4 linked regions of the Drosophila melanogaster genome follow. The gene in region 1 interacts genetically with each later gene. Each region holds a gene or a part of one and is shown in the gene's direction. Other genes may lie near its edges.

What was found.
Region 2: of chic (region 1) and Apc2, changing one suppresses a phenotype caused by changing the other (phenotypic suppression), as found in Drosophila melanogaster (one study listed by BioGRID).
Region 3: of chic (region 1) and CycB, changing one suppresses a phenotype caused by changing the other (phenotypic suppression), as found in Drosophila melanogaster (one study listed by BioGRID).
Region 4: of chic (region 1) and capu, changing one enhances a phenotype caused by changing the other (phenotypic enhancement), as found in Drosophila melanogaster (one study listed by BioGRID).

What each region holds. Positions count from the first base shown.
Region 1 is NT_033779.5:5,977,649-5,983,127, reverse strand, and holds the start of chic (chickadee), read left to right. Parts: upstream 1-2,109; 5' UTR 2,110-2,175; exon of another isoform or gene 2,176-2,281; intron 2,282-2,646; exon of another isoform or gene 2,647-2,919; intron 2,920-3,026; exon of another isoform or gene 3,027-3,188; intron 3,189-3,423; 5' UTR 3,424-3,605; coding exon 3,606-3,716; intron 3,717-5,479. Other genes in the region: eIF4A (eukaryotic translation initiation factor 4A), read right to left, coding at 1-118, 1,293-1,294. UniProt on the Drosophila melanogaster protein: Binds to actin and affects the structure of the cytoskeleton. At high concentrations, profilin prevents the polymerization of actin, whereas it enhances it at low concentrations. By binding to PIP2, it may inhibit the formation of IP3 and DG.
Region 2 is NT_033777.3:24,162,153-24,169,316, forward strand, and holds Apc2 (adenomatous polyposis coli 2), read left to right. Parts: upstream 1-1,813; 5' UTR 1,814-2,021; coding exon 2,022-2,657; intron 2,658-2,720; coding exon 2,721-4,934; intron 4,935-5,131; coding exon 5,132-5,485; 3' UTR 5,486-5,785; coding exon of another isoform or gene 5,786-5,992; 3' UTR 5,993-6,112; downstream 6,113-7,164. Other genes in the region: TBC1d7 (TBC1 domain family member 7), read left to right, coding at 1-239, 300-531, 588-674; mRpS24 (mitochondrial ribosomal protein S24), read right to left, coding at 719-1,008, 1,066-1,255, 1,316-1,333; CG5510 (uncharacterized protein), read right to left, coding at 5,786-5,992, 6,322-6,651, 6,705-6,902, 6,979-7,094, 7,163-7,164.
Region 3 is NT_033778.4:22,802,469-22,808,585, reverse strand, and holds CycB (cyclin B), read left to right. Parts: upstream 1-1,637; 5' UTR 1,638-1,904; coding exon 1,905-1,940; intron 1,941-2,086; exon of another isoform or gene 2,087-2,294; coding exon of another isoform or gene 2,295-2,312; exon of another isoform or gene 2,313-2,500; coding exon 2,501-2,646; intron 2,647-2,710; coding exon 2,711-2,919; intron 2,920-3,021; coding exon 3,022-3,926; intron 3,927-3,995; coding exon 3,996-4,292; 3' UTR 4,293-5,065; downstream 5,066-6,117. UniProt on the Drosophila melanogaster protein: Essential for the control of the cell cycle at the G2/M (mitosis) transition.
Region 4 is NT_033779.5:3,899,416-3,904,687, reverse strand, and holds the start of capu (cappuccino), read left to right. Parts: upstream 1-1,827; 5' UTR 1,828-2,093; intron 2,094-5,272. UniProt on the Drosophila melanogaster protein: Acts as an actin nucleation factor and promotes assembly of actin filaments together with spir. May play a role in intracellular vesicle transport along actin fibers, providing a novel link between actin cytoskeleton dynamics and intracellular transport.

The sequences.
Region 1 (5,479 bases):
CTCCTCGCGCAAGTTCATGTCATCGAAGTTGTCGTACACCTCGTGCCAGGTGGACTCGATGACGCCCTCGGGTTCCATGCTGGCGGGGCCATCCTGAGGTATCTCATTTCGGTCATCCCTGCAAGAAAGCGAGAATGCGTTAGTGGGGCGGAACAGTGGAAACAACAACAAAAGCAGTAGCGGGACGGGGGTAAAAAATTTTCCAGCCACAATTGTTGGTTATGGCGAATGGCAGAAAAGCGAAAAGTAAGTAAGGCTGGTGGAGGGAGAATCGAAAACCGCGAGCGCCGCTTGGCAACCACTCACATTATCAACAATAAAGAATTGACTAGGTAAACTTATATCCTGAATTTCGACGGCTTGGGCCCGGTTCACTCAATCAACTGTTTGCCTATTTGTCTAGAACGAATAACGGAGAATTCGGGCCGAACGCCGACTGTGTTGTTTTCTCGAGCTATCGAGCGCTTTGCTTTTAGTCCGTTACGTTTGTGCTGCGATGCGCTCTGCGAAGCGGTGACTTTACGTATGAGACCGAAAGCGATAGCTAGGCAGCCTTTTTGAGCGACAAGCGGCGAGAGTCCGCCCCTGAGCGTGTGCGAGCGGGACGACCCTAGTGTCGTTCGTGTCAATGTCAACGGGCGAGAGCAGCCGAGCGATATTAGCACGTAACAGTGGCGCCAGTGTTGCCTAACACCAGTTGCGAATGGTAGTAGTTGATCGAAAATAGCAGTAGTTTTGACAGTACGGCGGGGTGGGGATAGAAAAAAAAAACCGACTGACAGGCAAATATTCCAAAGCAAATCGAAAATTGAGTTGGAGCAAGGCTAAATCAGCCCACGAATGCCGTCGTCCACTAAAGATAGAATCAGCGGTCTGCGTCATTGTCCAGTCATGAGTCAAGCGAACGGACGGACGAGAGTGCATAAAATCCAGTCAAGTGGCGACACCGACGTCACCGGACTTCAACAAAAGTCCCCAGTTCGGAGTTCTAGGTTTCGCCAAGGCGAAGGGGGAGGGGTGCAAAGACCGAGTCCAGCAACAAAACTCTCTTGGAGCAACCACTGCGCTCGCTCTCTCTCGCTCGCATGGTGGCTGCCTCTCACTCCCACTCCCTGCACTGTCATACGGGCGTGTAATTTTTTTCCACTCATTTTGACCGTCAGAAATTTAAAATCGCGTTTTTTGCATTAAAACACGCGGAAATTATGCTAAGCAGTTGCGGAATCGATGCGGCACAAGATCGCCTTGCGGCTTTTTACATTTCAAACGCTTAATCTAGGGTATATACTAACATTTTCTGAAAATTATTTGGCACTTTTTATACACGTGCTGCTACTGATTTGTTAAAACCAAGCAAAAGAGGCTCCATCTTGCAAAAGTTTTAGTGATGTAAGAAAACATTAGCGACTATCGATAGATCGATCGCCAACTATCGCCAGATGTTAGCGGATATCCGGCAATTTCGCTGCGGCTTCGCAGTGTGTATGGTAAAGAAAAACAAAGCATAAAATAATGCAAATATTTTGAATTCAATTTGTATTATTTTGCACTTTTTTACGTTATTTTGGAGGTGCCACTTGAAGTTCAGGGCTGCAGACCCAGAGCTGGGGTGCCTGACTTCGCTATTTTATTTGCTATCGATATTACGCCCATCAAAGTTTTCCACCAGTATAAATATTTAAACCCGAATCTTATATTTGTTTAATAAATTTGATTGTAATATTGTTTTCCAACAGATTACATTCTCTTGTTGTAAAGACTTAATTGTAGTATTCAACCATTTGAACAACAACCTTATGTGAATCATATTATACAAATATATGAAAGTATGGAATTTTACATATGCTGCTATTCAGTGAACTGTTTTTAAATCGTGGGACTGGAACCGGCCAGCTATTTGTCTTAGTAGCTTAACGATCAGTGTTGTTTTGAATCTTTTTGAGTTTAAGTACAGTAATCTTATCTCATAGTACTCGAATGTGGAAGTGAATTTAAACTTTTCATGCCGCTGGTCTAACCGGGACTTACGAAGGCAAATAGCGAATACAATCGATTGCGAGGAATATCGTGATCGAATTTTGGCACACATCGATTGTTTCGAGCGAACAGCGACTTGTGTTCCAGTACTACCGCTTGTCGACGGTCACTCTGAATTTTTACCGCAGCGTGTGAACAGTGTGAGTGCCGTGGGTTTCCTGGAAATCCGTTTAGAAAGAGATTTCTCTAGACTTACTGAACGTGGGGTGGTTCGACAAAAATCGAAAACCGACCAACACTTTGGGTAAATTGCGTACAAAGCGACTTTCGTGCTGGGTGCACGCCTTAAATGGCGAAAACCCACACATGTACGCGCTACTTGGCCAACCGCGTTGGCTGTGCGTCGCCGTCTGCGGGTGTGTGTGTGTGTATGCCTGTGTGTATAAGTGTGCAAAAAATTAAGTGGGAAAAGTTCAGCAGCAGCCGGTCGGTATTCGGCATACGGCATTCGGTACTCGGTATTCCATTCGATTTGTCAAGCAGCCAATGCTAACATATTGCGGGTGCGGTGCAGCGCAGCACATTATGATATGTGAGATGGGATTCGAACATATAGGCGTTGAAATTAAAGGCTATTTTTAATTTATGACAGTTACTCAGTGCCGGCCAACAAAGTGACGATTCATAACACTCACTCGGAGAGCCGCCGTTGAGTCATCGTCTGCTCTCACTCGCTCATTTGCATTGTCCGCAGCCGGCTGATTAATAACGGCCCGCCTCGTACGACCGTCTCGCTCACACACCCACTCCAGGCGCACCGTTGCACTCGCCCTGGCTACGGCTCTCGCTCGCTCACTCTCTGCCCCACTCGAAAGCAGTGGCAGTGGGTGAGTGAACGGGTGACTCACGGCTTGGAATTGAGCGCTTTGGAGCAGAGGCAAGGCAAGCAGCCCCCTGCAGCGCGCACTCTTTCGCCACTCTCTCTCCATCTCTCACTCTCTCGAGTGGGTTTTCTCGAATTCAAAATCGGTTTATGGTTCTGCTTTGCGCTCATTCGACTTTTGAAATCCGCCTCGAACGCTTCGAAAATTCCCAGCGAGTCGGACGTGTGTGTGGAGCTGCGGCGTACGGTTTCTGTTTCTGTCTGTCTTGGTCTCCTTGGTCTTGCTCTTGCTCTTGGTCTCATCCCCCGTGCGTGTGTGTGTATATATGTGAGTTTTTCGGAGGCGGAAAATTAGGCGCTTTGTGCAATGCATCACAATCAAAATCACTAGATATATATACTTATATGTATATACATAAATGTGCATAACACAATTCCGCCGATACCCGGTAATTTGTCAAGGGCGGATGCAACACCCACTGCCGCATGATAAAATACGATACGATTTGATAAATGTTAATCCATCTCTCTCTCTCTCTCTCTTTCTCCACCTCTCGTTGCAGTTGAAAGTAAGTTACCCCAAGAAAAAATCGTCGGTGTTGCGGTTTTTCTTTGTCTCCCTGCCAATTTCGTGTGACCCCCGAAACGAAAGTGCGACTCGCCGTGCGGTAAAGCAACAGCGATCCATATCCAGATCCATATATATCAGTTCAACTTAATCCGCACCCACGACAAACAAAGCACCATGAGCTGGCAAGATTATGTGGACAACCAACTCCTGGCCTCGCAGTGCGTGACCAAGGCGTGCATCGCCGGCCACGACGGCAACATTTGGGCGCAGTCCAGTGGCTTTGAGGTGAGTACGTCGAACGGAATGGACTAATGGACGGAAAGCGGTTGGGAAAACCCATAGAATGGAATTCGGACGGAAAAACGGATAGTTGACAATGAATTTTCGCAAGTTCAAGGGTGTGACTCTCGCGCTGTCTTCCTCTCGCGGCCGCCATGATAACTTTCATTTGATAAAGAGCAACTCCCACCCCTTCGCCCTCGCCCTTGTCAGTTTCACCCCCTGCAGCGCCACTCCTGCGCAGGCCCGCTACCCCCTCCTCTCCCGCCTACGCTTTTGAGGGAGTGTGCGTGATCATACAACCCAGCAGGGAGACCAATTGGGCGACCTAGCCGATACGGATGGATTTCTGTTTATCGGTGACTAAGGAGGTGCAGCTTCGCTTCGCGGTAATCACCAATGCACTTGCATGCGGCGATGAGTGTGTGGTGTGGAGAGCGGGGGCGGGGCCGGGACCGGGAAATCTGATATCAGCGCAGCCGGTTCGAATGTCTGCGGTGCTGTGCAACACTGGTTCCTGATAATGCAGCCCACAGGCGCCTGGCATCAGCCCCACCCCTTCGCTATCGCTCGCCTTTATCGCACTCAATACAGACGGACCGTTTCCTCTGCGGCGACGGCCAAAATAAATGCTCTTTATCGGAGCGAAATACAGAACCAAACAGAACAGAACCAAAATGAAACGAACAGAAGTACAGAAAATATCTTGAGCATGCGATGCCGCGTCACCAGCGCAGAGTGAATCGAATTGAGTGGAGTTGACTCCGCTTCGGCTTCTTTTACTGATTTCGATTCTGAATCTGAATCTGCTACCTTCGAATGCGAATGCTCTGAGTATTTCTCGTATGCGCGCCACGTTTTCGCCCTTTTGTGAGTGTGGCTGTCTGTGTGCGTGTGCAACTTCCTGTCGACTCCGAATCCGAATACAAATACGAATCCATGTGCTCTTATCCTGCTCGCTCTCCCAGCGAGATTCCACTCGATTCGGGCAGCCACTCCCTAGTGCTTTGTCCGTCGAATGAAGTTCATCTCGCCGCTTATTAGATTAGGAACCGATTTTGGCCAAATTCGATCCGCTGCCTACGTCACCTCACCATCACACTCATTCTTTTATCTACCTGCCATTTCTGCACGCGCATCACTTTCGTTTTATTATCTCTCGCTGCCTTCGCAGGTGCCTTTGTTGTTTTTCCCAACTTCGCATTACCCAAGTTACCCAGTTTTGATCTTGATTCGGATGAATCATTGTGAATACTTAGCTTTTTCCTTTTCCGATTGATCAGCTGAGCTGGACCTTGTGAGAGAGTTGTGTTTTTGGGCTGCTAATAAAAGTTTATGATAAACACATTTATATACATGGCTTTGCATTGAGAAAACCGACTTTGGGTGACAGAATCTGAGTGCCATCGTGTGGCATGTTCATTCATTGAAAAACTACCAATTTAGGAGATTTTTGGCACTTGTGGAATTTTCGCTATCGCCGCATAATGAGCTCCGCTTAGTTATTAACGTTTTTGGCATAGCTGTCTACGCAAAACCGGCTTTTCGCGACTTTACTGCTCTTCTGCTCTGCTCTCCTCTTCGCATTTCTTTCTCTCACGCGACGCGAGTTGCGCTCAATGGAAACTTCTCGATGCCCAATTCGAGTGGCATTCGGATGTGTCACCGTTCGGCAGCCGCAAATGAGTAACTATCGGTTGTGCGAGATTTTCAAATTAATTTCCCCACTCACCCCCCGGCAAAAGCAGCTGTTACCTGGGGGATGGGGC
Region 2 (7,164 bases), on another chromosome or scaffold:
ATGTGGCTGATAGAGTCCAATCGACTGTGGCATGGCAATACTAGTGCCAGTCTCCAGGCGGACGACATGCACTTCATAGAGATTGTGCGCACGTTGCTGCAGATATTCGACGACAACGTGGAAACCTACTGGATAGCAAAGGGATTCTACAAGTACACCCGCGAACTGAAGAAGGAGTGCGTCAAGCTGAAGGAGCAAACGCAGAATATACTGAAGCGCGAAGATTTGTCCTTGCTTAAGTGAGTTTGCATATGGTTAGTCGGGTTATTTGACCAATTTTCTTCGATTACTCCTTATAGTCACCTGGAGCTTCTGGGCCTGTTTGATGGCAACTCAACGCTACTGGATAACTGGTATATAACCTGCTTTGCTGGAATAATCTGTACAACTCATTTGGTCAAGATATGGGACAAAGTCTGTGGAGGGTCCCGGAAGATTGTTGTTTTCCTGTTTGTAGAACTAGTTAAGGACATAAGGTCCTCGATACTAAAGCAAACATCTTTAGCAGACGTCAAAAGACTTATAGAAACGGTAAGTAAATAAGGAAACCATTTGCTAAGCCATAACTTATCCAAAATTTGCCTTAGGTAAAGGATCTTGACGGTGTTATTATCGTAAACAAGGCCATCAAATCACTACAAAACAACAGCAGCGAAGTCGAGTACACGCACTAAGTAAATCTACACTTTTATATTGGACATGTATATAGCAGAATGAACTAAATGTATTTGAAGACCACGTCCTTTTTATCGCCCACCGTTTGCAGTTCCAAGGTCACTGGACACTGCATCCAATAGGAGAGCAGCTCCTCCGTGTAACCAATAAGGAAGTACATTTTTCGCGGTGTAATCGCCTGCCGAATAAGGGCCGCGATCCTAATGGTGTTGTGCTGTCGCTTGATAATGACCTCGGAGCAGACGAGGGCATGCCATGTGCCGGTGACAAACTTGCGGATGAACACATCCTCTATGGCGGTCTGGGACGGACGCAGGGCATCCTTCATTGTTGCTAAGATAGAAGGTGGCCATCAAAATGCTTCCTTAATAAAATTTTCTCACAACTTACACGTGTTCCATGAGTTCCACGATTTGCGGTGGCCAATAAAATGCGGCGGATTGGCCATCTCGTAGGTAAGAGGCCTGTTTCGCTTTGTGGTTATGCGGTATCGCCCGGATTGCACGCGACAGCACACGGAGCTGGTGTGGAATCCTGACCGGCTGAGCTGCTGCACCTCGGTCGCCACCTGGGGCAACAGCTGCAATAGATTAGGTTATTTTAATATATAATTTGTCCTGTTTGTTGTTATTTAACACACCTTTTTCAAGAAGTTCATTATTTTGCGGCAGAAACAATTTTGCGTCCAGCAACAGCTGATTGACGTGACGTAACGGTTCGCTAGAGATGGACAAATTTATAGATAAGTATTCGATATTATTATTGTGTAGTGAAAATATTTTCTATAAAATAAAAAACAACATTGAAGGAAGTAGTTAAATAAAAACACAGAAAGATTAATTTTTAGTTGTGTAAATGCCCTTTTTAGTTCTTAAATGCAATACTTGGATCTCTATTGCATTGATTAAAATCGATTTTTATTTTGTTTTAAAGCGGGGCAGAGTTGTCAACAGTTGTCGGTGGGAAAATGTAATAATGTAATGTAATAAAATTATTGCACGCTTATTTAAAATATATAAATAAACAACATTTTGAGAGCTTCCTTAATAAATAGAGTTAACTTTGTATTAATCCCTTTATTCGAAAGAACTTTGACTGATCATTGAACTTGGGCAGAACTAGCTATAAATTAGCTTAATCGGTAGCACTGGAGCGCTGAGCCTGCGCGCTTGGAAAATGGCTTAAACGCAGGCCATCTCAAACAAAGATCGAGGATCTCAGATCAGAAGGAACTACCTGTTGAAGCGACCGTGCAACAGGACTCATCCAGAAGCAAAGCTGCAAAGGTTTATTCCCAGAATCCCTGGTATCCGAATGCACTAATAGGTGAGGATACATTCAAAGTAATGACGCTGAACGAGAGCGACGCTACTCGCCTGGAGCTGACGCGCAACTTCCTGGAACTGTCTCGAAATCCGGAAACATGCACCGCCCTGCGCAGCTCGGACTGTATCCAGCTTCTGGTGCAGATTCTGCACGCCAACGACGAAGGCCTCTCCACGGCGAAAAAGTACGCCAGCCAGGCGCTGCACAACATCGTCCACAATAATCCGGAGGAGAAGGAGCGCCAGCGGGAGGTGAAGATGCTGCGCCTGCTGGACCAGATCCTCGACTACTGTAACTTTCTGCACACCCAGTTGCAGAGCGGCGGTGAGGCTATCGCAGATGATGAAGATCGTCATCCGCTGGCGGCTATGAAGCTCCTGATGAAAGCCAGTTTCGACGAGGAGCACCGCCAGACTATGTGCGAACTGGGAGCCCTCAAGGCGATTCCCAATTTGGTCCACCTTGATCATGCGGTCCATGGACCGGCTGCCGGTAGGGAACAGTGCAACGCCCTCAGGAGCTACGGCCTCATGGCCCTCACGAATCTCACCTTCGGAGACGAGAACGTCCATAACAAATCGTATCTGTGCGGTCAGCGACAGTTCATGGAAGTGGTCATTGCTCAATTGAACACGGCTCCGGATGAACTGCTACAGGTGAGTTTAATCTTGGAGATTAAGAAAAAAAGATCGTAATTTAATTACCGTTGATCTCATCAGGTTCTTGCTGGTGTGCTTCGCAATCTTTCGTGGCGCGCGGACAAACACATGAAGACTATCTTTAACGAGCTGGGTACTGTGACCTCCTTGGCTCGAGCAGCCATGCAAAACAAGAACGAGAACACTCTCAAGGCCATACTTTCAGCCCTTTGGAATCTCTCAGCGCACTGCAGCACCAACAAGGCGGAGTTTTGTGCAGTAGACGGAGCACTGGCATTTTTGGTCGGAATGCTTAGCTACGAGGGTCCGAGTAAAACTCTTAAGATCATCGAAAATGCAGGCGGCATTCTTCGAAATGTATCGAGCCATATTGCGGTGTGTGAGCCGTACCGACAAATCCTAAGACGGTACAATTGCCTTGCCATTCTGTTGCAACAGTTGAAATCGGAGAGCCTAACCGTGGTAAGCAACTCCTGCGGAACTCTGTGGAATCTCTCGGCGCGCTGTCCCGAGGACCAGCAATACCTCATTGACCACAATGCCATCCCGCTCTTGCGGGCCCTAATCAGCTCCAAGAACTCCATGATTGCGGAGGGCAGTGCCTCGGCTTTGAAAAACCTAGTTAATTTCAGGGCCACTCAGGAGCTTATGCCCAATGGAGATGGTGGGTCACTGCCACTAGACAAGGAAGCTGGCCATGGAGGTACGCTGCCACGGAGATTCAGCTCACTGCGCCTAAGCTCAAATCCCACGGGATCGCTTAAGAAAGTGCGACCCTCAACAGTCAGCACAACTGGCTTTCTGAACAGAAAATGTGAGAGCCGAGAGTCCATTTACTCGGGCAAATCCGATTCCACTAAATACTCAACCAAGTCGGAGGGAGCGAAGAATCCCTTCGAAATTGTGACACCCACTGAAGAGCAGCCCATTGACTACTCCATGAAGTACATGGAGCACAAACCCAATAGCAGTAAGACCTTTGAGATCGACTTGGATCAGCCAACGGATTTCAGTGCTAGATATAAGGAGAGACGATCCGCTCAGACGGCACAGCCGGAGCTGAAGTCGGAGACCAATGAGATTAGAAGTAAGGAGTTGCAACTGACAAAGTCCTCCTCGGCCACGGAGCTGCGCAATAGTCCTGGCCTGGTGGCGGTTTCAGCAGCTAAGCAGAAAATTGCCACCGAAACGGAGACGGAAACGGCAGAGCGACCAATAAACTACTGTGAAGAAGGGACTCCCGGCAGCTTCAGTCGCTTCGACTCGCTCAACAGCCTCACAGAGAAACCGGAGAAATGTATGCCGCCAAAAACTCCAACGAAAACTGCGGTTCTCCCGGTGCACGTTGACGGAAATACGCCTCAAAACATCGATTCCGCACTAGAAACTCCATTAATGTTTTCGCGTCGCAGCTCTATGGACTCATTGGTTGGCGACGACGAAACGGTTGCCTGCGAGGACAATGGATCCGTGATCAGTGAATACAGCCGGATGCAGAGTGGTGTTATTTCCCCCTCAGAGCTGCCCGATTCACCCACCCAGAGTATGCCTCAATCTCCGAGAAGGGACAGAAAAGTGTCCACTCAAAATAACTTGGACACACCTGAACAGAAGCCCAGTACTGTGTTTGAGGACAAGTTGAACAGATTCCACGTGGAGCACACGCCTGCTGCCTTCTCCTGCGCCACCAGTCTAAGTAATCTGAGCATGATGGACGACTCTAATGCAAACGCTATTCGAGGACAGCGTGGAAATGACATCAACGGCAATGGGGATGCTCCTCGCAGCTATTGCACAGAGGACACTACTGCCGTGCTTTCCAAAGCGCCAAGCAATAGTGATCTGTCCATTTTGTCCATCCCGAATGATCTAAATGCGAATGAAGCGCAGCCAGTGCCTGCTCCGCGAGCTGATGTTACCGGAATGGACACTCGGATGCCGGCAGAAGATGCAATCTCTAAGATGCGCTGCGGTGGCAATGCATTGCCCAGTTATCTGCCAGTGTCGGATGAAATGAGCAAGTACTATGTCGAGGACAGTCCCTGCACGTTTTCGGTCATCTCGGGACTATCCCATCTCACTGTTGGCTCTGCTAAGGCTGGGCCTGTTCTGAAGCTGCCAATGAGGACTGCAGAAGAGGCTCAGGCACCCAAACTTCCTCCCAGACGTAGTGCCGTTCAAGGAGATGCGGAGCCACGCTTACCGCCGAAGAAAAGCGACTCACTGAGCTCATTGTCCATGGACTCGGATGACGACTGTAATCTTCTAAGTCAGGTGAGAAAAGGATACTTCATTCAAAACACTTGATATATTTCACCATATAAACATTTTGTGAGAGACTCACTCAAAAATAAGTGTCTTTGTAGATTTAGCAATCGGAATGTTGATATTTCACAAAAGTTAAATTTAAAATGCAGTCAGAAAATTCTCGCTAAAATCAGAAATATTAAAGTTGTTCCCTCTTTTTATAGGCCATTGCTGCGGGAAGTTGTCGACCTCAGCCCAGCGGTGCCAGTACCAGCTCCAGCCTGGCGAACGCTAGTACCAGCACTCTATGCAGGGAAAATGGGCAGTCAAAGAAGCAGGTGGAGCATGGCGATAAGCCGAACTACAGCTCAGATGACTCGCTAGACGACGACGACGATGATGCACGGTCCAAGTCGCTATTTGAGCAGTGCATTCTGAGCGGCATGCATAAGTCCAACGACGCCTTGGAGTCGGAGGGTGAGCCGCCGGGGCAGCGCCAGGAGATCAGTGCCCGGGATCGATTTGTCAGTAACCAGGTGCGCCAGATTGAGTCCATGTTGGCTGGGCGTCAGCACTAGAAGCGGATGGTTGGTTAATTGAGAAGCGCATGCATTTGTTTAGTGGCTTTTAATCTTGTCTACGCAATAATATTCTCACGGTCTCAATTTTCCTATAGTTCAGATTAAAAATTTGCACTTAAATTTAACTCTCCAACACGTGTAATATTATGTTTACCCTCTCACTAAACAATTAAGGAAACTAAAAAGGGTGATAAGAAATGGGATACAGTCGCGGTATAAATATAAATAAAAGTTGCGATCAACTGAGGTCCGGGTAACTCCTAACATGATGCTACTGTGATGAACTAGCTAGAGAGCTCAGTAGAAACGTTTTCGCGCGTTGCGATCCTTGAAGTAGGAGATGGCGAAGATGGCCACTGCAGCCGCCACGACAACCACGAAGAGAAGGATGAAGAAGATCTTGGCGTTGGACATTCCCGGCTTGGGATCTTCTTTGTGCTCGCGCGGGGGCTCGAATGTCTTGGCATTCGGTATGATATTGGAGCGCCGGATAATCTCATCGTGCTGCGAACAAGAAAGAAAGTAAAAAGATGGTTATTGCAACAAGAAAGTAAAACTGGTTTTCAGTAATATGATATAAATATTATAACACACGGCTTATAAAGATAAACATGATTAGGCATCAAACAATGTGTTTAAAGCCAGCTGCTTAATTATTACAAGTTGCAGCAATTAAAAACAAGTTCACTCTTTTTTCTTTATACGTATACGCAGTTATTGAAACTTAAGTCCGCTTTTGGGTTCCTTGCACTCCTTATCGCGTTAGCCAAATAGCAGACAGCTGAGTAATGCTTACTTCGCTTCCGAAGTTTGGCAAACAAAAGTGAACTTACATTTACGTTCAAGTCCAGGTCATAGAACTTGAAACTGTGAATATCGTGATTGTCGGACAGATCACCCGTCGTCGCAGACATGCCGAAGTGGTAGCCCGTGGGTAGCTCAACGTTGGCCACTACAAAGCAGTTCTTCCATTCGTTGCGGTTCTCCAGATCTGTGGAAACCGACAGAATGTCGTTTTCGTATCGAATGCTAACCAGCGTCTCGTACTCCACATTGCGGAAACGAACTTCGCAGCCGGCCAGCTGAGTGTGCGTTCCATCGCGATCGTGGTCGTAGCTCCAGCTGCCATTGTTCACCATGGCGCTGAGATATGGATGTTGGTGCTACAAATATAATGTTAATACATTTACATTCAATGCCTTGCGTAATGACATACGTTGTGTGGACCATTGTGATTGCTATAGGTGTCCAGAATGATGGCCAGTCCGGAGAAGTGATCCTTGCTGCCAAAGACCGGCCCGGTTTGCATGCGCTCCTTTGTGTACCAAATGGCAAATCCGTCGCCGAACAGTTCAGTTCCCTTGCCGTGCACCTTAAAGCCAACGTGCACTTCCCAATTGCGAGTCATCACGGGCTTTGGATTAAACATTAAACATCAATAACTATTGAACTGCAAAAAGTCGCTGAGAGAGACCAACTCTCCTGCTTACCGAGTAGTTCCAAAGTGCACCGCTCTTGGACTGTAAGTCCGGCGTCAGTCTTATATAGTTGCTGGTCACCATCGTGTTACCCAGGAAGTCCCAGTGTGGCAGGATCACGCCTACGCCTGCAATAGAGCCCAAGCCATGTTAGAGATACACGTACACTCCGTATCATCAGTGACCAATTACCAACCT
Region 3 (6,117 bases), on another chromosome or scaffold:
CATTTTCCAGCGGCGAAAATCGAGGGTGGAAAACTTGGAGCCCGATTTCTCAAAAGGGGAGAGAGAGCCAAATGAAGGCGCGATCGTGTACGGGGCTCCAACTTTTACGGCTGTTAATTCAAATGTTTATGCACTAATTAATTGCCCAGGCATTGCATTACGAGTCATTTGTTGTGGGCCACTTTTTTTTTTTTTTTGCACTCTATCTTATTTATGTTTCGTTTTATTTTAGTGGCTGGTGTACTTTAGTTTGTTGCCTAAGTTCTTCCTTATGGATCGACACTCGAGATAAGACCAAATGGTGCTTGAAAAATGCTATTTTAGCTCCAGCTCCAGTTCTGAATTGCCAATATATTGTACATATAATGCCAGTCTTTTGTCATTTAAACGCACTTGATTTTATTTAAACGCCAGCGCACAATTAAGCAGCCAGCAACAAACACACACGGCATATAGATCATCGGCTCTGGAGCATAACGATCTTCTGGTTTTATGTCCATAGCCGAAAAGCACTTTATATGTATATTTTTTAACTAAAAATCGCTAAATCACGCCGAAATCTGACCGCTTTGGGGCATTTAAAATTTGAAACGATTTACTGGAGGTCAATGCGCGTTGGATCGATCGAAGGACTTTTTTCGTGGCGACGAAAGAGACGGCGACAGAAGCGCAGAAAGAGGCGGCGAGAGCGAGGCAACCACTCGCGACGGCGGCACTTTTGCGAATGAAATGTGAAAATCACGGAAAACTCGAGCTCGCGATCGTCGGCTGGCGCTCCATTCTCGTTCGGCTTTTTGGCCGGAGTTCGCAAAAGTACTTTTGGAGCGCAAACAGACTCATAAATATATGCTAATGAGCCAGAGCGCCGGAAGAAGAGAAGAAGAATGCGCCAACCGTTAAGACGCAGCAAAGGGCCACAAAAAAAAAACAGGAGAGTTTGGGGTACTAAACAAAAACAGAGGCAAAATTCTGAGGCGATGGCGATTGTTTTGTGGTCAAGTGCTTGAAAATGATGGAGCAGACGAAAACTTGACACTGATCATCAGCAAAAAAGGCTGCGGAGTGGCAAGAATTATGCTGCATTTCCGCCGCGGAGTTTCGATGTTCTGCGGCCTGTGGCAGCAGGAAATCTTAAATCAGCGAATGCAAATCAGGGGGGCACAAAAACAAACCGAACACAGCCAATTGAAGTGATCAACTTTTAATTGATGCAATCAATGGATGGTGCAACCGAGTGACGACTGGCAGTCAAAGCGATGGCTTTATTAAAATGGGGAACCTTAACCAACTATCAAATTTAATCCATGAAGTTTTCATTTTTAAAATATGTATAAAATGGATTGAGCTTGAATATCTAACAGAAATTTCAAACTGTAACGTTTTCTTTTTCGGCTAATTTTAAATTTAAATTTGAAATTTATGGGTAGCACTGTTTCAGCCCTGTCATCGATAAGCTGTGCACCAGTACTGGTCACACTAAAACTATCGAAAATTATCGCACGTATCGCATCTCTATTTTGCATGCTCTGCTCTAATAAATCGATTATTCTCGAGCGCCACTGCGGCTTAAAAGGGAACTAAGTCCAGAAATCGATATCGTCAAACTCATCGGCATTTATCATCGAGTTTACTTCCATCCCCATTCCCATTTTCAAATTCAAACGGCAGCTTGGCCTCGCTTCGTGTGCAAAAACTCGATCAGGTTTTCGGAGAATTGACAATCCCGCACTCGACTTGTAAATTATAAACTATTAGTAATCATATATTCGGACAACAAATTCAACAGCTAAACAAGCGTTCGGTCACAGAAACGCGATCAAAAGTCAACCAAACCAAGTGATAGCCAAGCGTCTGCCTATCTTCGTGTTAATTGTGTTTGTACAGATAGAAAAGAAGCAATCAAAATGGTGGGCACAACACTGAAAATGCGTGGCGATGAGGTGAGTTGATCCCTAGAACATTAAGATTACCGTGGCATCCGCGAAAAGGTCATGGTAAAGTCACAAACTAGTGGGCTCGTCATCAGCGAGACGCCATTGCAGCGTGGTCATGTAGAGAGGGGCAAAGAGGACGCTGCGATAGTGCGATGAGTGTGTGAAGGGAGGGGGAAAAGAAAGAGTGCCGTTTGTCCCGGGCGCTCATTGTTGTCGTTGTTGCAGTTGCCTTGCTCACATTTTGGCGCAATTTTCTACCGGCGGTGCTTGCACCGTTAATTAGTACTCTCCACACCTATTTTTCGCACCAAATCACAGAGGAGATAAATCGAGGATCAGTCTTGCGGTGCTTTTCCCAAAATGGCCGCCCTTGAAAAGGTGCATTTCATGATCAAGTCATTATTATGCAACAAACTGATCTTGCTTTAACAATTTAAAATAATTAAAATCAGTGCTCAATAATTAAAGATGTTAAAGAATAGGGTTCAAAGTGCAGATATGCATTCAACTATACTTGTTGCACTTCTCCATTTGTTTTCTAAAACTAATTAAACAATATTCGATAGAACGCTTCGGAGAACTTCAAGCAAGTGCAATTGAAGAAATTGACGGTTCCTTCCATGGAGGCAACAACAAAACGCGCGGCCTTGGGCGATTTGCAGAATCGCGGCATAAGTCGTCCCATCGCAGCGAAGGATGCGGCACAGAAAGAGTAAGTGTTTGAACCAGTATCAAGTATTCCATTCGCAATCACATGTGGTTACTCCACCGAGCAGCTCCAAGGATCTCAAGCTCACAGACGCCCTGCGCAATGCCAAAGCTCGGGTGGACAGCCACTGGAAGAAACAGCCACTGGGCAGCACCAATGGCAATGGCAATGGCGCCGTTCCGCCCAAGGTCAACGAGGGGGGCGTGTCGGCGTTTTTGCGTTCGAATTCGGTGCGCAATCGCGTTCCGACCAAGACCACTGTAGAACCCACTAAAGGTAAGCAAAAGAGCAATCATCTACCAATCATCATCATCTACCATTTCCAATTTTTGAATGGCTTGCATCATACTGACCCCAATTCATCTTGAATCCCCAAAGTTACAGTCAAGTCCAGTTCTTCCGAGAACGTGAACGAGCCCACCTTAAAGCGCGAGGACAGCAATCTGTCGAAGAAGTCGCTGACCAAACTGCGTGCCGCTTTGGCCAAACCCGTGATGGGAGTTTCAGGAATTCGACGGGAACCAGTAGCTGTTTCCCGCAAAGAGGCAGAGACCAAGAAGGAACTGCCAGAAACCAAGAAGGACTCACTGGAAGTGAAAAAGGATGCGACCAGGATGCCCCTTATTAGGGGCAACAGTGCAGTCACTACGACCACATCTACGATGCCCACCACCATGTCCCTTTCCAGCAAGCGCTTGGCTGGAATCGAGGACATTGATGCCAATGACAAGGAGAACCTGGTACTGGTCTCCGAATATGTAAACGACATCTACGACTACTTGTATCAGGTGGAGCTGGAGCAGCCCATTCACAAGGATCACCTGGCCGGACAGAAGGAGGTGTCCCACAAGATGCGAGCCGTGCTGATCGATTGGATCAACGAAGTCCACCTGCAGTTCCATCTGGCTGCAGAGACCTTCCAGCTGGCGGTGGCTATCATTGATCGCTACCTGCAGGTGGTCAAGGACACCAAACGCACGTACTTGCAATTGGTGGGAGTGACAGCACTCTTCATAGCCACCAAGTACGAGGAGCTGTTCCCGCCGGCAATCGGAGATTTCGTCTTCATCACGGACGACACCTACACTGCCCGGCAGATCCGACAGATGGAGCTGCAAATCTTCAAGGCCATCGACTGTAATCTGTCGCGTCCGCTGCCGATTCACTTCCTTCGACGCTACTCGAAGGCTGCTGGCGCCGAGGACGAGCACCATACGATGTCCAAGTACTTCATCGAGTTAGCTTCCGTGGACTACGAAATGGCCACTTACAGGCCATCGGAGGTGGGTTTCAATACACTATCCCCTTTTATTTAGCATAGGTATATGTAATATTTTTTGCGGCGCCTTTAGATTGCAGCTGCCTCACTGTTCCTGTCGCTGCACTTGCTCAATGGAAACCACCGGGCCGGTACAGGATTCAACGACCGTCACTGGACGCCCACTCTGACCTTCTACTCGCGATACTCGGCCGCGCACTTGCGTCCGATTACCCGGCTGATCGCGAAACTGGCCCGGGACGCTCCTCAGGCCAAGCTGAAGGCCATCTACAACAAGTACCAGGGCAGCAAGTTCCAGAAGATCGCGCTGCGAACGGAGCTGACCGGTGCGCTGATGGACTCGATTGTGGGCCAGAGCCAGAGGAAATAGTGCGGTCCAAGGCGGACTGGAAGACCCTGACTTACCTAGTTTAGTTTAATTTGTTTTCATTTTTAAATTTGTAGCGTATTTCATTTTCTGTTCGTTTCGTGTTCGTTAAAAAATGCGTATAGTTACCGTAGTCGCATTGCCAACTATCTTTACCTGCATCACCCATCCCTAAGATATCGTAATCTGCTGGAGTCCCTTGAGCAGTTTTCGGCTACTGCCAAGAGCTGGCTCCGGCATCTTTGCCCACGGAGCACAAGTTGCTCGCGAGCCGGCCGCTGGGAGTGAGTTCCTCCGGTAAGACTAGGAACCGAACTAAACTGGAGCCCGTCAGCTCCTTTCGCTGGGTCACCATCTCAGTGGGAGCGAGCGGCGGAGCGGTGGACACCGAGAGAGAGAGTGGGCAACGAGTTCATTTGCTGGCCGAACACATCGGCGTTGTCTCTCCAAGAATTATATTTTATAATTGTACCCGTGAAATCATTTCATCCCCTACCTACCTATCACTAATTGTATTTGTCGTTAGTTTTTAGTTTCGATGGGAATGAATAAATCCAAAAAATTGTGCAAAATTATTCCCATAAATCGCATAAAAAAGAGACGTAGACTATTTGTAATTTATATCATGTATTTCGCACATTCATACAAAAACAACTTATGCTAGTTATATTGTTTACCACTAAGCAACGATTAAAACACGTTTTAACTAACTGATGTTTCCCAAAAATGTCTCTGAACAATACATAGAAAATAAAGTTTTGTATAATTTTATAAACAATATTCGTGTTTACCTTGCATGCAATGTGCCGCCATGTGACTTCATTAGTTTTGAAATCTTTCCGACAGCTGATAAGTGTGAGAAATTTTCCACACCCCTAAAAAAACCAGACAGCCTGAGATGAACGCAGACCCTTTTCCAAGGACGGAGGTCCTTTTGTCCTGCATTCTTATCAATCCTGAATACACAATATATGTACAGTGATATACCTCTGTATACCCTGCACCTATGTACATACATACAAACATATGTATAGTCGGCGCCCCTGGGGAAGGTCACCTTCCCGATCGCAGGTCAGTTACTTCTCTTCCGCTTCTCCCTTTCCTTCTTCCCTTTTTAACGCTTTTCTCTCCCTTTTTTTGGTACCGTGTTCCATGGGCAACGGTAATTGCCGAGCACATTGCTCGCACATGGTTGTGCGTGTGTGTGTGTGGGTGTCTATCTCACTTTTCTCATGTACAGTAGTTACTCGATACAAAGCCAAATAAAGGCAACCTTATAGTTAAGTTCTTAAGAAACATATAAGCGAATTATCGAACGAATATTTCAAATAGTTTTCGTTAGTAGCAATTAATGCATTAGGTAAAAAGTTTGAGTTTCAACATTTGTTCGCCTTATAGAGCGCCCACTGTACACGGCCTGCTGACTTTGCTGTGCGCCTGTTCGAAATTTAAGTTTGACGGTTTTATGACTCTCATTAATTCTTGTTTACGGTCAAACAAATGTAGTAAAAAGAAAGTCATTTTTCTCGGCACCTCCGCTGCTCCTCCCTTTTGGCATATTTTATGTTGGCTGCCAGTGGCAATCGGCGTCATAAAAACTCCATGCCGTATAAATCGGGCTTACAGTTTTTGGGTCTTGGTACCCTCTGTTTCTTCTTCTCTTTTTGGAAACTTCTTGCTCTCGCTTCTGGCTTGCTGTTACCGAAATATGCACAGCATGAACCACTCCGAACCACCGGGTTCGAGTTCCTTTCTGAATCCTGCGCCTTGGAGCAGACAGGCGGTCGTTCAGGTAGTTCAAGGGGTGGCTAATTCGCACGGGGGTCAA
Region 4 (5,272 bases), 2.1 Mb from region 1:
TTCGACTCCTCATTAGCTTTTGTCTCCATTGGGGCATTAAATTGGAACGAATATTTGTTTGCTCGGTTCGACTAATTGCGCTGCTAATTTCAATTGTTCGCATTGTCGGCAAGCAATAATAATGCAAAAATTGTAATTACAAATTAACAATTGGTCGTCTGGGTCCCTCGGTGACCTAAAATTAGATTGTGTAAATTTGCAAATTAATTTGCCATTGCACAAAGAGCTCCGTGCAATTCAGCTCGGCAAAATCAGAGCACACAATATCAATTTATTTACTGTGCAATCTGTAAATAGTAGAACATGGAGTCATTAAATTGCAACTGCTAAAAAAAAAACTTGAAAATTTAGTACTGCCAGTCAAAAGTCCAAGTGAGTTGCATTTACATAAAAATAGGCTAACAAAAAAAATATCTACACAGCGTCATACAAGACCGCAAAAATATGGAAATTCAAATAGAAACAGTATCTTTTAGCAAAAAGAGAAAATCTTTAAAATAAAATCATAATAGCCGGCAAATGGAATAATCAACAGACATCAAAACGAATTCGAATTAAATTTTAAACTGCGGGAAGCTTAAAACCGATTTTGTAAACTACAACTGGGTGAAAAGTTCAATACAAATACTTTTATTTACTTTTCACCTTCATTTGTGAAAGGTGATTACCGAAAAATCATCAGCCAACTATAGCAAAACTTTCTCCCAACTTGCGGATGAAACAAAAATGATACAAATTCCTTTTTGCTTTCTTTTTTCGCTCTAAAATTATAAAATCGAAATGGGTTGTAAAAACAATCAGTTGTACAGAATTCTTTGCTTGCTTTCGATTGTTAGTAAAACCCTTGAGCACTCAGTGATATTGTAAAAATACACAAAATATTTAATTGCACAGCAAAGTATAAAAGAAGGGGGAATTATCTTTAATCCAATACTTGTTTAGCTCTGTTATGAAATATTTGAGTAATAAATCCACATAATTGATACTTTTAACAAACAAAATAAAAACGTAATATGTGAGCATTAAAAATGAAAAATGTATCAGTATTTTATTTGAATAATTGCAAGCGGAAGCAAGGAATTTAGTAAAATAAAATAATTTCGTTTTTGAATGAAGGTTACATAAATTTCTCTTAGCGATAAAAACTATTTAATGGATATTAAAGATTTAAGGACATTGTAAATAGATAAACAGAGTAAACCAAAGAGTTTAGAAATTTAATTTGAAATAAATGTGTTTAAAACATAATCGAAAATATTTATTAGAATAGTGAATAATATCTGCATTTTTATGAATGGGTTACTGTGGCGTTGAGTAAGATACATCTATAAATGGTATTTCTTATTTAATTAATGATCTTACTTTTAACTATGTATAATAAAAAAATAGTTTTAAAAATAGTTAAGGAGTTTTATTTAGTCCCCGAACAAACTCAGACCACCCACGCATTTTTCAAGTATCCACCTAGATATAAACAAAGATGTACTGGTAATCCAAAACCAAATATGATCAAAATAGCCAATAACTTTAGTCTAAGTCTGCGACTATATTAAACTGTCCATTTTCGTTCTATAATTTTTACTCAAACTAAATGTAAACTATTAAATCTGCTTTTAAAAAAAAAAAGAACCGAGAGAACAGAAATGTTCACGCCAGGCGATTGAAACATTTTACTGACCTTTTTAGTGCGAAACCAAAAGTTTAAACTAATTTTAATTGTAAACCTAGACAGTAATGATATACGATATATTATACAATGTAAATCAGAATATACGATAATTATAAAGTAAATAAAATGAAATTTAAAACAAGCAGTTCGTCTACACCGTTCAATTGGGTTAGGCATACAAAATTCTGTCAAAATTTGTGTAATTTTTCGTTTCCTTTTTTTTGTTGTATATCGTTTTGGTAAGATGATTGTGTATCCAATGGAAGAGCTCTATCCGGCTATGATGGTCATAGCCATCACATTGTTAGCCCTTCTGCAATGGGGTATTCGTGCCACAATTAAGCCCAAAATATTGGGCCCACAGAAAAACGCAATAAAAAATGGAGTAAACAACAAAAGGAGGAAAGTCCTCTCCGCCATGCAGGTAAATTGAAAAATGTTTGCAATTGTTTTTACCATCTATCTATGCTCTTTTTGCGGTGCGCACAATTAAGGTGGAAAAATGTAGATCGACTGTCAGATATTCTTACAGAAACTGAATATATTTTGCCTATCTGAGCATTAAACAACAATGACCATTAATGATTTATCAGATTTAAAGACCAGTATATATGTATAATATATAATTAATAATCTTCATATATATTATTTTTAATTACTACAACTTAGGCACAACACTAGTATTTTTAACAATCATTGCACTTAACAGATTTTTGTTTTGATTTTAAAAAGTGTATTCAATTATTTCGCAACTTTAAAACTCAATTTTTGTGGAATTTTATTTTTTGACTGCTTGGCAACTCTGACCACCAATGCGTGCCTGTGTGTGTGTTGCTTGTCAGTCTGCGTGTGTGTGTGAGTTTGCGCTGCTGGCAAACCGCAAAATGGTGACATTGTGCAAATAAAAAACAATTTACGATAAACATCAAATTTCCACAAATTACCTTATATTTTACGTGAGTTGCGAAACAGATTGTAAAACGCGAAAACACACACAAACCGAGGGAAAAGTGAAAAAAAAGAAAACCGCGATTCGCAGATTTTACACTGCAATGAACATTTTGTTTCACTGTTCACCATTGTTTGCCAAGTGTGGAATAGGGGCGAGAGGTTTGGAAACTTGGGGGCGTGGCTAAGAGAGGTGCCACTTTAAGCGTGCCGCATGCCCCCACCTGAATCTCGAATTTTGCAATTATTTTTATTGCTCGCCATTTTGCTCGTCTGATGTTTTCCACGTTTTTTTTTTTCACCCCCCAGCTGCAACCTGACGGGGGTTGGGGAATGTGTTTGGGGGCAGAATAGAGGTCGTAGGCCATTTCGAGGGCCCTTCATAAATTTCCACAGTGCGGAAGAAGGAAAAAAAATTATTCTTTATATGAGGGAAATAAATAAAAAAATGCTTGTTAAGCTGCGGCGCTGTATGTTTGCGCATAAAAAGCATACAAATTATGCAGGCACTGTAAGAGATTAAAAACTAAATAAAAATAAGTGTGAAAAATTGCTTCCTAAATATATAACGAGAAACCCTTTTCAATCTTAAATAGTATCATTGATCAAACTTTTCAATCGCACCTTTATCAACACCTCAGATTTTCAGAGCAAAAGAGATTTGCAGCCATCTTGACATTTGTCGGCCAGTATGAGGCGCCACTTTCCCACGATTTTCCATTTCGAAGAGCTCATTCCTGCCCCCTAATTGATGTCGCCAGGTGTCGTCGAACCACATAAACAGGGCTCAACGGCAAAAAAAAAAGAAATCCAGAACAGCCAGTTCACTGGCCGCATTGTGCGCCAGAGGGCCAATAATTAGGAGTGTCTTTAAGATGGGTCTAAAAAATGATAAGAGGGCTGGAAAGCAGATAGCGACATGACCAACTCAAATAGGCAGCGGGGAAACTTGGCCTAGACTGTGTTGACTTGCTGGCCAATGTAATTAGGGAGCATTAGGATTAGACCGACTGTTCCCAAGCAGCGGATAACAAAGCACTGCACAGAGAGAAGATAATTAGGTCTAATTTGTACTATTAAATATACTTCTTTAAAGGTATTAAATAAAAATTCTACTTAGCTCGTGGGAATATCAGAAATTAAATGCCAAGTAGTTGTTAGAAAAATATTGAATAATCCTGAGAAACATACTTCTGATTTTCAGTGCAAACGCAATAAGCCAACTAAAACTTGGCCAACGGCAAGTTGGAGAGAAGGAGCAGAAAATGTGGTAAACTTTTTGCTGTTTTGGCGTAAACAAAAATAAATCAATTTCTTGGTGCGCACAATTGTTAAGATAGTAGATAGGACAGAGTCCATAACGACAGGACCGAACAACAGGATAAGTCCGCAGAGTCATGTCAATGGCCGGCGGCTTTCGAGAAATGGAAATTTCGAAAGACGCCAGGCATTTTTCCTTAGATTCTTTTGCAAATATTCCAAATTCAACGGAAAGTGGAATAATATTTGCACGACTTGCGTATGTAAAGCCACTTATACCTGGGACCATGCTGATTGCATTTGGAAGTATTTTCAGGTGCCTGTGGCAAATTTAAATATTCAAGTGACCTTTAAGAAGAAGTTTTTATAAACAAAAACAATTTAAACATTTCTTCTTGGCACAACTCATATACAGAGTTCCGTGGATTTCCGTGGCATCGCCGATAATTATTTCTTGAAACATGCTAGAATTCAATTTCTAAAACTCCAATCAAATTACCAATATACACGTCTCGAACAGAAACCTAATTTGAATGCCAGCGAAGCGGGTGAAATGTAGTTAACTTTCAGTCGATTTAGTTTGGTTTCGAGCTCCCTTCAATAACCCTTGTTCTAAGCTCCAAGTCCCCCATACCGTCACCATTAGTTCTTATTCCCCGGGTTCTTGTCGCTATTTCTGCTGTTCCTGCTGTTGCATCGCATTCTCATTGACAAGTTTAATTGATGGGCGTCAGCGTCAGCTTTTGGCTTCAGCTCGACGGAGTTTGGGGAAAAGGCCATGGCCAAGACACCATCCCGCATACCCCACTTTGCCCATCACACTCTGACCCCCGTTGTACAGTACACCCTCGATTACCGGAATGGCGACGCGACAAAACCGCAGAATCTAATTTGGCACAAACCACCAAAGCAATTAAAGTTGCAGCTCTGCAAACGGTGTCCGATGCGAATGTTCCCCAACTGTCTATCTGTCTCTGTCTTTCCCTCGGCGCGTTTGTGTGTGTGTGTGTGTGTGTGTGTGTGCGAAGGTATCGGTGTGGGTGAGTCCCTGTGTCGGTGAGGTGTCACTGCTATATGAATCGCGATAGCAATCCAGAAAATATCACACTTTTGACCATTATGCGGCTTAAAAATGAAAACTCAACAGAATCAGTAACTAAAGATTGTTTTATGAATAAATACTTTTAGAATTGTTCTTTGAAACTTGTTCTGATTTTTGTATCTTTAACCACGCACCACACTCACCGTTTTCAAAATGGTTTTTCACAGTTGAAATTAACTAGAGGCAAATAAAAATTAGACCCATTTGTATCTACAAAACGTGCAAAATGTGTTGTCACTGCAACCAGAATTCATTTGGGGTACCTGTCTCTGGCATTTTTGGGGTAATATGTG